3 linked regions of the Struthio camelus genome follow. The protein of the gene in region 1 purifies or fractionates together with the protein of each later gene. This does not show direct contact. Links are inferred from orthologs where the notes say so. Each region holds a gene or a part of one and is shown in the gene's direction. Other genes may lie near its edges.

The links.
Region 2: the proteins of DPF2 (region 1) and SMARCD2 purify together in Homo sapiens (affinity purification with mass spectrometry; 6 studies listed by BioGRID and IntAct, counting the BioPlex papers as one, with this or other methods). This does not show direct contact. The link is inferred for Struthio camelus from reciprocal best matches to the Homo sapiens genes DPF2 and SMARCD2.
Region 3: the proteins of DPF2 (region 1) and SMARCD3 purify together in Homo sapiens (affinity purification with mass spectrometry; 3 studies listed by BioGRID and IntAct, counting the BioPlex papers as one, with this or other methods). This does not show direct contact. The link is inferred for Struthio camelus from reciprocal best matches to the Homo sapiens genes DPF2 and SMARCD3.

Annotation. Positions count from the first base shown.
Region 1 is NC_090976.1:844,142-847,887, forward strand, and holds the start of DPF2 (zinc finger protein ubi-d4), read left to right. Parts: upstream 1-825; 5' UTR 826-879; coding exon 880-911; intron 912-3,275; exon of another isoform or gene 3,276-3,738; coding exon of another isoform or gene 3,739-3,746. UniProt on the Homo sapiens protein: Plays an active role in transcriptional regulation by binding modified histones H3 and H4. Is a negative regulator of myeloid differentiation of hematopoietic progenitor cells. Might also have a role in the development and maturation of lymphoid cells.
Region 2 is NC_090966.1:2,793,804-2,797,549, reverse strand, and holds the start of SMARCD2 (SWI/SNF-related matrix-associated actin-dependent regulator of chromatin subfamily D member 2), read left to right. Parts: upstream 1-786; 5' UTR 787-801; coding exon 802-975; intron 976-3,746. UniProt on the Homo sapiens protein: Involved in transcriptional activation and repression of select genes by chromatin remodeling (alteration of DNA-nucleosome topology).
Region 3 is NC_090943.1:136,360-140,105, reverse strand, and holds the start of SMARCD3 (SWI/SNF-related matrix-associated actin-dependent regulator of chromatin subfamily D member 3), read left to right. Parts: upstream 1-772; 5' UTR 773-1,004; coding exon 1,005-1,082; exon of another isoform or gene 1,083-1,095; intron 1,096-3,746. UniProt on the Homo sapiens protein: Involved in transcriptional activation and repression of select genes by chromatin remodeling (alteration of DNA-nucleosome topology).

The DNA of each region.
Region 1 (3,746 bases):
ACTCTCCCATCCTTTTATGCCTCTCCACCTCCATCCTTCCATCTTCCCTTCATTCGTCTCCCTCATCCTGCACCATTTGCCTCGTGGTCTTTCTCTGGCGCCCTCCCTCACCCCTATTACTCTCTTATCCCTCATTTCATCCTCCCCAGCTCTTCATCCTTCCTCCTAGTATCCATCATCCTCCCCAGGCCTCTACACCCCATCCAAATAGCCTTTATCCCTTCCCGCTGCCCCTGCTCCTTCTTCTCCTCCCCCATTTCCATCACTCACACCTGATTTTCCCTTCTTTTTCCTTCACCTTTTCTATCATTCACACCTGTTTTCCCTCACCCTTGGCTTTGACTCTTCCATTTTACCTCAGCCCTCCACCCCCTCCCTCACTCTGCCTCCCCGCTACCCTTCATCCTCCTCTCCATCAGCCCTTCCCTTCCTTCACCCTCACCCCTACCGCTTTCCAGCTCCGTCCCTCGGCTCTTCCCCGTCCCCGCTTCGCTCTTCCCCCTCACCCCTCCGTCTCCTTCCCGCCTTTCCCCCTCGTTCCTCCATTTTCCCTCCTCGTCCTCGCGCCTCCCCCCTCAGCCCTTTCCCGCCTTTTCCCCCGCGCATGCGCCAAGGCCCCGCCCTGCCACCCAGCGCTTGACGCATGCGCAAAGCAGCGCAACCAGCCGCGCCAGCCCTTGCCTTCAGCGCATGCGCCGGCGCGGGGGAGGCGAGACTGCGCATGCCCGCGCGGCCGCGGCCGCCGTCCCCGCCTTTCTGCGCAGGCGCCGAGCGGCGGCTCCCCCCCACCCCGTGCTCACGCCTCCTCCCCCGCCCCGCCCGGCCCCTCCTTCGGCGCATGCGCGCTGGGCGGCGCAGGGCCCAGGCGGCGGAGGGAAGATGGCGGCGGTGGTACAGAATGTAGTCAAGCTGTGAGTGGCTCCCTTTCCCCCCCCCCCGCGGGGGGGGGCAGAATGGTTCGGCCCGGCCGGGGCGCGGGACGCGGGACGCGGGGCGCTGCCCTCGCCGCGGGCGAGTCCAAGTGACCGGAACCGGGGGGGGGGCAGAAGCGGCGGGGGGGGGGGCGAGGCGGCCGGTCTCGTTGTTGGGGGCGAAGTTTCCTCGGTGGCGGAAGGCGAGAGCGGCCGGGGTCGGCGGCCGGGGGGCGCCGCGCAGGGCCCGGGGCCGGGGGAGGCTCCGCTGAAGGGCCCTGGGTTCCCCCATAGGGTCCTGTGGGGGGAGAACACCTATATGGCCCTGTGAGGGGGTCCTATAGAGCGGTGGGGGTGGGGGATCCCCTCATATGGCCCTGTGAGGGGGTCCTATAGAGCGGTGGGGGTCTGAAACCCCCTATATGATGCTGTGAGGTGGTCCTATATAGAGCTGTGGGGGTGGGGTCCCCCCCATAAGGTCCTGTGAGAGGGTCCCATAGAGCGGTGGGGGTCTGGATCCCCCTATATGGCCCTATGAGGGGGTCCTATATAGAGTTATGGGGGTGAGGTTCCTCCCATATGGTCTTGCGAGGGGGTCCTATAGAGCTGTGGGGGTTTGGATCCCCCTATATGATGCTGTGAGGAGGTCCTCTATAGTGCCGTGGGGGCCTGGATCCCCCATAAGGTCCTGTGAGGGGGTCCTATAGAGTGGTGGGGGTGGGGTTCCCCTATAAGGTCCTGTGAGGGGGTTCTATAGAGCTGTGGGGGCCTGGATCCCCCTATATGGCCCTATGAGGGGGTCCTATAGAAAGGTGAGGGTCTGGATCCCCCTACGTGCTGCTGCGAGGAGGTCCTCTATAGTGCCATAGGGGCCTGGATCCCCTTATATGGTCCTGTGAGGGGGTCCTATAGAGCGGTGGGGGTCTAAATTCCCCTATATGATGCTGTGAGGTGGTCCTATATAGAGCTGTGGGGGTGGGGTTCCCCCCATAAGGTCCTGTGAGAGGGTCCCATAGAGCGGTGGGGGTCTGGATCCCCCTATATGGCCCTATGAGGGGGTCCTATATAGAGTTATAGGGGTGGGGTTCCCCCCATATGGTCTTGCGAGGGGGTCCTATAGAGCTGTGGGGGTCTGGATCACCCTATATGATCCTATGAGGGGGTCCTATAGAGCGGTGGGGGTCTGGATCCCCCTATGTGCTGCTGCGAGGGGATCCTCTATAGTGCCATGGGGCCTGGATCCCCCTATGTGGCCCTGTGAGGGGTTCCTATAGAGCGGTGGGGGTCTGGATCCCCCTACGTGGCCCTGTGAGGGGGTCCTATATAGAGCTATGGGGGTGGGATTCCCCCCATATGGTGCTATGAGGAAGTCCCGCAGAGCAGTAGGGGGTCTGGATCCCCCTATAGGATTCTGTGAGCGGGTCCTATATAGAGCTGTAGGGGTAGGGTTCCCCCCATATGGTCTTGCAAGAGGGTCCTACAGAGCGGCGAGGGTCTGGATCCTCCTATATGGTCCTGTGAGGAGGTGCTATATAGTGCCGTGGGCATCTCAATCCCCCCATAAGGTCCTGTGAGGTGATCCTATAGAGCAGTGGGGGTGGGGGTCCTTCCCTATACAGTCCTATGAGGCGGTCCTGTAGGACCCAGGGAATGGAGATCCCCCCTATATGGCCCTACGAGGGGTCGTATAGAGCGGTGGGGGTCTGGATCCCCCCTGTATGCTCCAGTGGGGGGGTTCTATAGAGCTCAGGGGCTAGGGGTCCATCTCCCCCTATAATGGAGGACCTATAGAGCTGTGGGGGGGAGTATCATCCTACATGGCCCTAGGAGGGGGCCTATGGAGCCTAGGAGTAAGGGTCCTGCCCAGTATAGCCCTGTGAGGGGACCCTTATAGAGCCCGGGCGGTGGGTGTCGCTGCCCCCACACAGCCCTCTAAGAGGGGCCCTTTAGGAGTGCTTATTTCTATATGGTGCTGTGAAGAGACCCTATAGAGGGTGGGGGGGAGTCCCCTTATATGGCCCTGTGAGGGGGGCTCTATAGAGCCCTGGGCCTGGGGCTCCCTCTATATGGCTTCATAAAGGGGAGGGGGGGCCTATAAAGCTTGGGGGGGGCCTGCCCCTATATAGCCGTCTGAAAGGGGCCATATAGAGCCCTTGAAGGGTATAGAGCCCTCCACTATACGGCACTGCGAGGGTGGAGGTTTTAAACCCCCCTGGGGTGGCCCAGGCAGGCCCTATACTGCCCCCCCCCAAAAAAAAAAAGCTGCTTAAAAGATGCCCTATGTCACCTCAAGGTTACATATATATTAAAGTTACATATATATTTTTTTTTCCGCTTTTTTTTCCCCCCCACGGGAAGGAGCAGGTTTCGCCCCCTGCTCAGTGCAGCTTCCGCCCTTCTTTCCCTCTCCGGAAAAAACCCTCTCGGTTTCCCCCGAAGCGAAGCGACGACGCGGCCGGAGCTGCCGCCACCTCCCGCTTCAACCCGAAGCTTTTCCGGCCCGAATCTCTCTCTTTTTTTTTTTTTTATTTTTCTTTCCCCCCCCTTGAAAACCTTCTCGGCCGACGCTCAAAAACTTGGCAGCTGTTGAGCCGGGTTTTTCCGGCGTTTCCCGGGAGCCGTCGCCTCCACGCTCGCTTTCGCTCCGACGCCTCGATTCCCGGCGGGGTCTTTTGTAATAAACCCGGCGACGTCTTCTCTCCTGGCCGTCCAAAATCCGTTAAAAAGAGACATTTCGGAGCAGCGTTTCGACCGTTAGCAAAGGCGAAACGGCCCGGAAACGAACCGCGGCTTGCCGACGGGGCGCCGACTCCCTCTCGGGGCCCGTATGGACGC
Region 2 (3,746 bases), on another chromosome or scaffold:
ACCTGCACGTGGAAACACACAGGCCTTCACACACATGTGCGCACACCTGCACGCCCAGGTGCATGGGCAGCACGCACGCACACACGCACAGGCATACGTATGCACACACACAAACACAGGCACACACATGGGCACGTGCACATATGTGTGCACACAGACACACGTGCACACACAAAACATGCATATGTACACATATACACACACACATATGCACACATAATGTACATACACATGTGCACACACATGTACAAATGCATATATGCATGGCTATACATATGTGCATGCACACACACGCACACACACATGCACACGTGCACACACATGTGCACACACATATGTACACAGGCACATACATATGGACACAGAGAGACACACAGGCGCATGCATACAACTCACACACACACACAAACACACATATGCGCACATGTGTACATGTGTGCACATATGCGCACGCGCACATACATATGCACATGCATATGTGCGCGCGCGCGCGCACGCACACGCACACGCACACACACGCACGCACACACGCACACACACACACACACACACACACACACACACACACACACACACACACACACACACACACACACACACACAGGCGCGCGGGGGCGGGGGCGCGCCGCGGCCACGTGCGCCGCCGGCGGGGAGGCGGGGGGCGGAGCGGCGCGGACGGGGGCGGGGCCCGGCGAGGGGGCGGGGCCCGGCGGCGCCGCGCGGTGACTCCCGACCCTGGGCGCCGCCGACTGCCGCCGCTTCCGAGTAAACAGCGCGGGCGGGGGGCCGCCAGCCGCCGCCATGGCCGGCCGCGGCGCCTTCCCGCTCAGCCCGCTGCCCCCCCCCGCCGCCGCTGCCGCCCCGCCGCCCCCGGGGCCCGCGCCCGGAATCCTGCGCGGCCCCAGCCCGGCCCCGGCCGGCGCCGCCGCCGCCCCGGGCTACCGCCCCATGGGGCCGGCCGCCGCGCAGTACCAGGTGAGGCCTCGGCCCCTCGCGTGGCGGAGCCGCGGAGGCAGCGCGGGCGCGGGCCGCCACACCGCGCCGCGGGGCTCCCAGGACACGGGTGGTGGGCGCTGGCGCGGCTCCCCTCGAGGCGGGTCCTCAGGCGCGGGTGCGTGCTGGCGGGGCCGCGCTCGGGACGTGGTGCCGTGGGGCTCGCTGGGCACGGGTGGGTGCTGGTCCCCACTCGGGACATGGCCCTGTACCGGGCACGGGTGGATGTTGGCACGTCCCCACTGGACGTCGCACGGCTCCCTGGGTGGGTGCTGACTTGGCCCCACTGGGGATAGACTCCTTGGGCAGTAGTGGGTGCTGGCCAGGCCCCACTGGGGACAGTTTCCCAGGCACCTGTGGGTGCTAGCCCAGCCCCACTCAGGACAAGGTGTCTTGGGGCCACCCTGTTCCTCGCAGCATCTCCGTTTCGGCCCCTTGTTGCTGGGCACAGGCACCAGGGAGGCCGGATCCGGGTCCTCTTCCCCTTTCTGGGGGCTCCAGCGGCCCCGGTGCCGAGGTCCTGCTCGTCGGTGGGTGCAGCTGGGGAGCTGTTTCCCTGCCCGCTGCTGGGACCAGCTCACGAGAAGCCTGGTCCTGCCCAAAGCTGGGAGAAGACGGATATCCCTGCCCAGGACATACCTAGGTGCCGTTTACCATCCGTCCCGCTCCTCTCGTGGGACCCAGGGTCTATGCTAAAATTCTCTGTCTTGAATTTGGCCAAAGTCCCTTTGTGATTTCCCCATGAGGGCTTGGTACCCCCCGAAGGGGCCGTGGGGAGAGGCCGGAGGGCAAACTTTCGCTTGAAAGCGTGGCCTGGCCTGCGCTCGTGGGGATTCGATGGCTTTGTTTGGCGGTGGTGTCTGGAGAGGTCCATCGGGCAGCTCCGAGGGTGCCGTGTTAGCAGCTCGGTAGAGGCAGGAAGAATATCCTTTTTTTTATTTTTTTTTAATTTTTTTCTTGTCTTTTGGGGAATGTGTGTGTGGGGGACAAATGAAACATGCTGCAGGAATGTACTTGAATCCAACCATGCTCTTATATGTTCCAGATCCCCTCTGCTTTCCCAGTGGAGAATCGCTCGGGGATTGAATGTGCTTTTTAGCAGCTTCTCAGCTGCACCGTCCCTTGCGGGGGCGCTTTTGACCAGGGGAAAGGAGTAAGTTGGCAAAGTGGCTGCTCTGCATATGGCCTTGGCAGTTAGGACGGAGGAAATGTGACCAGCACACTAGGGCTGCGTTTCCTGATTTTTTTTTTTTAATGTTTTTTTTTTTTTTGAGGCCCTTTAAATAAATGTAGTTATGAGCAAATGCCCAGTGAGGGGTCGATGTCTTTTGCTGTTACAGATGAGGTAACTGAGGCACAATAAGACCCGTGTTTTCGAATAGTAATCATTTTGGAAAGAAATGAAGGCAGCTGCTTCCAAACCTATCTCCGTGAGTTTCCAGAAAATGCTCTGAGATTTTCATCTCCTAGCACAACTCTGCTGCTCCAGCAGGAGCAACTCTGTTGCTTTTCAGCAGGTAGTAGATCTCCCTGCGCTCACTAGAGTGGGCCCAGCTCCTTTAGAATGGTTGCATGCTCCATCTTTCCTTATTCTTCATGGTTTCTAACTGCTTAAAAATCCCCATAAAAGTTGCTAGCAGCTGAATATTTGGCAGCATTGCTGTGCAAATCTTGTCTGTTGTAGCAGCAGAGTGATAGTTCGGGTCTGCTGTAAACACCCAGCAGGAGCCAAGGTGCGTAACTCTATCTGCGCTGCGGTGAGACTCAGGGACCGCTGGCTGTTCATCTGCTGGGCTGAGAAGAAACAATTTTGGAGCAGAGGAGGTACAAGCCACTCCAAGCAGAAGTCATATGTCCAACTCCAGCTTCACAGCCATTTCTTGTTGCGCAGAGCTCCCTTGAAACATGTTTATATGCACCTTTTGCAAATTTAGGGGTAACCATAACCAAGTAGCAGGTGCATATTTGCAAGAGGAAGCTGAAGAGACAAGGAGGTGATGGAAGAGGAGAGCAGGTGCTTGTTAATTTGAGGGGGAAAAATGGAGACATGCAAGTGCCTTGAAGGTAGATCTGACCAGTGAGCAGCCCTGGAGAAGCCAGAGCCAGTGTAATTGTTCTACTTTCTGCCTGAATATGTTTTATGAAGAGTATATTTTAACTGATACTCAAGTTTCCGCTTCTCACTGCATGCGCGGCTTGTCTGTGAGCTGGCTCTTGTGCACATGGTGATTATTTTGAAGAGGCTAGGCTTCTGATTTAAAGCGATTTCTTCCAGATGCTCTTTGGAAATGGAGGAGCCCAGTTGTGCAACAGATTCTCAATCTCTACTGATCACCACCTCCAGAGCTGCCACATTATTTGCATGAATGAAAACTTAAGAAAAAAAAAATCAAACCAAGGGAGCTTCCAACTTGTAAACTTCATTAATACAAAATGAGGAAACAACCTGAGTAGCCTTAAAACACGGAAGAGCCCTGAAGTGAAAATTGAGACGGCATATTCAAGGCCAATCTGAGCATTAACCAACGGTTGCAATTGTAACTTGATTCAAAGGATTCTCGGGCTGGGAGAGATCTTGCTCATTTACCCTGACCGTCCATGCAGTAGGTTGCAAAACCCAGCCCGGGTGCCTGGCTCGAGCAGCCGGGAGTCACTCATCGCTCTCATTTCGTGTAAATAGGCTAACATATGCTTTCCTGCCATCCGCGCCGGCCATAACACCGCGATCAAAGCAGGTGTTCGGAGCGTATGGC
Region 3 (3,746 bases), on another chromosome or scaffold:
CTTTCACCCCCCCAGGCGCGGCGGCGGCGGCGGCTCCGCGGCCCCAGCAGGGTCCGAGACCAGGCGCCTTGTCGTGCGCGGGGCTTTGTGTGAGCGGCAGCAGCCAGCCCTGACGCGTAATGGCAGCCGTGGCGTTAGCAGTGTCGGAGTCGGTCAGCCACCTGGGGTCTCTCTGATGGCCCCGTCACGGCGGTATGGCAGCGGCCCGAGAGCGGGCCGAGGGGAGGCTGCGGGCGGGCAGGAGCGAAGCAGGCGCTGCGCCCCGCCGCCATGCTGCCCCCCGCCCCCTCCTCTGCTGCTCTCGCACTCTTTCTTTCCCCTCGCTCTCACACCACGTCCCTCCCTGTTCCCAGCTTTCTGCCTCCTGCTGTTTCTCTCTCTCGTCCAAAGGGGTTAGTTCTCAGTCTCATGTGCTGGAAACGCTGCCAGTGAATGTTTCTGTGTGCTGCCTGCCAGGTCTCTGGGGAAAAGGCCTGGAAATGCAGTGCAGGAGGAGCAGTGGGAGCAAGGGAAAACCATTGTTTCTCACTGCTTGCCTGCTGCATTTTCTAATGGGAAAAGTCTCTCCGTGAAGCACTGAGTTTATGTCATTGCTGAAGTTGCCCCCTCCCCCTTCCCCCTTGCCCCAGAATTTACCATCCCCTTGTGCTGAGGAGGAGAGGTTGCAGCGCTGCTACTAAAAAGCTGAGACGTGTTTTCAGTTTGCCTCCTGCTTATCTCTGGTGTTTGGACAGAGAGGTTTAAAAAGCTGGATTTTCTGTCCCTGCAGAGTAAACACACAGAACCCGGCAGCACAAACTATTTCTGGCTTATCAGTGGAGGAATGCAGCAGCTGAGGCTTAGCGCGAGTGGGCCGTCAGGAAGGCCCTGAAGGGGCCCCCTCCCCACTCCGCGCTATTAGAAGTGTGAGAGCCCAGCAGGACTCAGAGGGGAGAGTTGGAGAAAAAGGCAGAAAAGGGAAAGAAAGAGGAAGAGAGAGAGTGAGAGAGGCTGAGCAGACCCTGATGGCTACAGATGAAGTTACAGGAGGGGCTCGCAAAGCTACGAAAAGCAAACTTTTTGAGTTTCTGGTCCATGGGGTGGTGAGTCGGGAAAGTTAGTGAGCTGGCTGGCTCTGAATAGAGGGATGAGTGGAAACTGGAGGCTCTGTGCTGGGCTGGATTGGCTCCTGAAACGTGCTCTTGGGGCACTGGTAACTGCCTTGCCAGGAGAGCACCGGGGTCTGCAAAGCCCCCAGAATATGTACTGATTCATTGATAATACAGGCTTGTGTCTGGGGGGATGTGTGCTGTGATTTTTGCTTTGATTCTCCATGAATAGTGAATAGTGAATAGCGTTCTTTTGAGCCTGTTCACAGTGCAGAATCTGCACTGGATCTGACCCAGATGGGCTTGTAGGACACTTTGTTCTGTAATCAAACTTGTGTTTTGAAAAACAATTCTGATGAAAGCCTGATGAAGCCTTGTGGTACTGCCTCTGGTTCTTGTCTCCAGACTTGGCTCTTATGTATCCTCTGGCTACTTAACAGGTGACTTTCAGGGGCTTGAAGAGATTAGCTCTGCAGATCTACAACAGTCTATAGGCACTCACCCACAAGAGAATTTCAGGGTGCCATGGTTAATTAAAGGAATCCTTGAGGTCTTTAAAAATTTTCTAGCTTTTGTTTAAGAATCGGATCTTCAGTCTCCTTTTAAGGGGAAATGCTAACCCCTGTTTTACTGTCATTGGAGACCGTGTTTTATAGATGACTCTCAAACGGTTGAATGCAGTCACCATTTATAACGTGGATTTCTTATATACATTTAACAACAACAACAAAAAAAAAAGATTACTGAAAAGTCCAAAAGAATGCAGATATTGTTTGGTTACCAATAGTCCTGGGTGATTTCTCTCTTGAGGATTCTGGCACCTTCTTGTGACATCTTTTTGAAGACATCAGGTGGAGGTTCTTGTGCAACAGTCATAGAAATCTGGGGAGCTCACTGCAGGCTGCAGAATTGTCTCTGTAATTCAGGCTTACTCCAGATGCATAGAATCTAGCTGGTGACTTGCAGATCCTGGATATGGTGAGACCTGCAAGGCCAAGGACTTCTAGGTGGCATTTTGTTTTTGTGAGAACAGTGAACAGATGACCTGGTGCCAATGTGCAGGAGCAGTCTGTTGCTAGATTGGCAGATGTACAGAGACAATCAAATAGCTGGTGTGCAGGTTTGTGGCAGTGGTTTTGTTGTGGACATGTGGAGTCATTAAGATGTTCTGGCTCAGGATTACTATAGCTAGGATGGCTATAGTAAAGGATGAAGCATAGGCAAAGTGGGAGGCGTTGGCATGTGGAATGCTTTTCCCTTTTCCCAGGAAAAGGCATTCTGTTTTCTACTGCATTTGCACACCAGCAAACTTCCTTCAGTATCAAGAAGAGTGGCTAAAATAGTTACGTGAATGTGTTTCTTCTACATCTAGCTGAGCATGCTGTCCTCTTGAGCACTGGAATTTTTAATTTATACCAGAATGAATACAGTAGAAGTGGTTTCCATTAGTTATTTGGATACTAAGGAAATCTGACTTGCACTGGGAATTGAGCCGCTAGTGGCATCTTACTTGAATATCTGCATTTGCATGAAATATCTGCATTTGTATGTCATCTTCTTCCTGTTAGTGAGGCTGGGGCTTCTTGTCTGTTATTCTCTTGCCAGAAACGCTTCTTGTGTGACCCTGCCCTTACCTCCCCTCTCCTCCCCTACCCTCCATGATGATCTTCTTCAGTTTGGCTTCTGCTTCCTTATTTGTTCTTTTCATCAGTCTCTTCCTCGTCTCGGGTAACTTTTGATCAAAGCACAAGTTGAGGTAGTCAGTCTTCCATTATTTAAAAAAAGAGAAAAAAAATCATACTTCATTTTACTTCTTCAGGTCCTATGTTCTCCCAAATAAATGAATGTGCCATCACAGCTGTTGCCTTGTGTTCACATCTTGCTAGCTATTCAGTTTTATTACCACATACAGTGTGGCAGCATTTGAATTAAGTCCTTGAAAAATGAAACTTTATCAGAATTCCTTGGAGTCAGATTCTACTCTCACTTCAGGAAAAACCTCCTCTTCAAGTTATTTATTTTGTATTTTATCTTTGTACTTATTTGATTATTGCAGGCATTATTTTTTTGGCAAAGATAGGGGGGATGTAAATAGAGGTAGAATGTTGTGAGAAAAATTTTTGCTATGTGAACGCTTTAACGAAAAGGAAAATTTGCAGCATTTCCTGAGGGCAGTTAGAATTTGGATTCACTTGATCTTGCTGGAAACATATTCTCCTTTGCTGAGGTCACTTTGCCCTTTGCTCTTGGATACTTCATCTTGCCTTTGTTCTTCTTTTCCACGTTGCCAGCTTAGAAGGAGTCTTCTTCCCTGTTTGTCCCATTCAAATGGGACACCCCTGTAGTATGAAATATCTTAATGGTTAAACAATCTTAAGGACAATACTTTGTCCTCATTCTGCTTGAATTTTTGATAGTTTGTTATATCTCTGGTTAGCCCTTTCTTATGTAAACAAGGTTTGTTTTTGTTTTTTAATTTTTTTATAATTGTCTTATTCCCATTTTGTTTCATCAGGGTCTTATGCGTTGTTTCCGTAGGAGGAGAGAAAGGTTTTTTTTTTTCCTAAGGCTTCATCCTTCACTTTGTCCTTTTTTTGCTCTCTGCTCTATTTCTATGCATTTTTATGGATAAACATGGCTTTAATGACCATCTTTAGG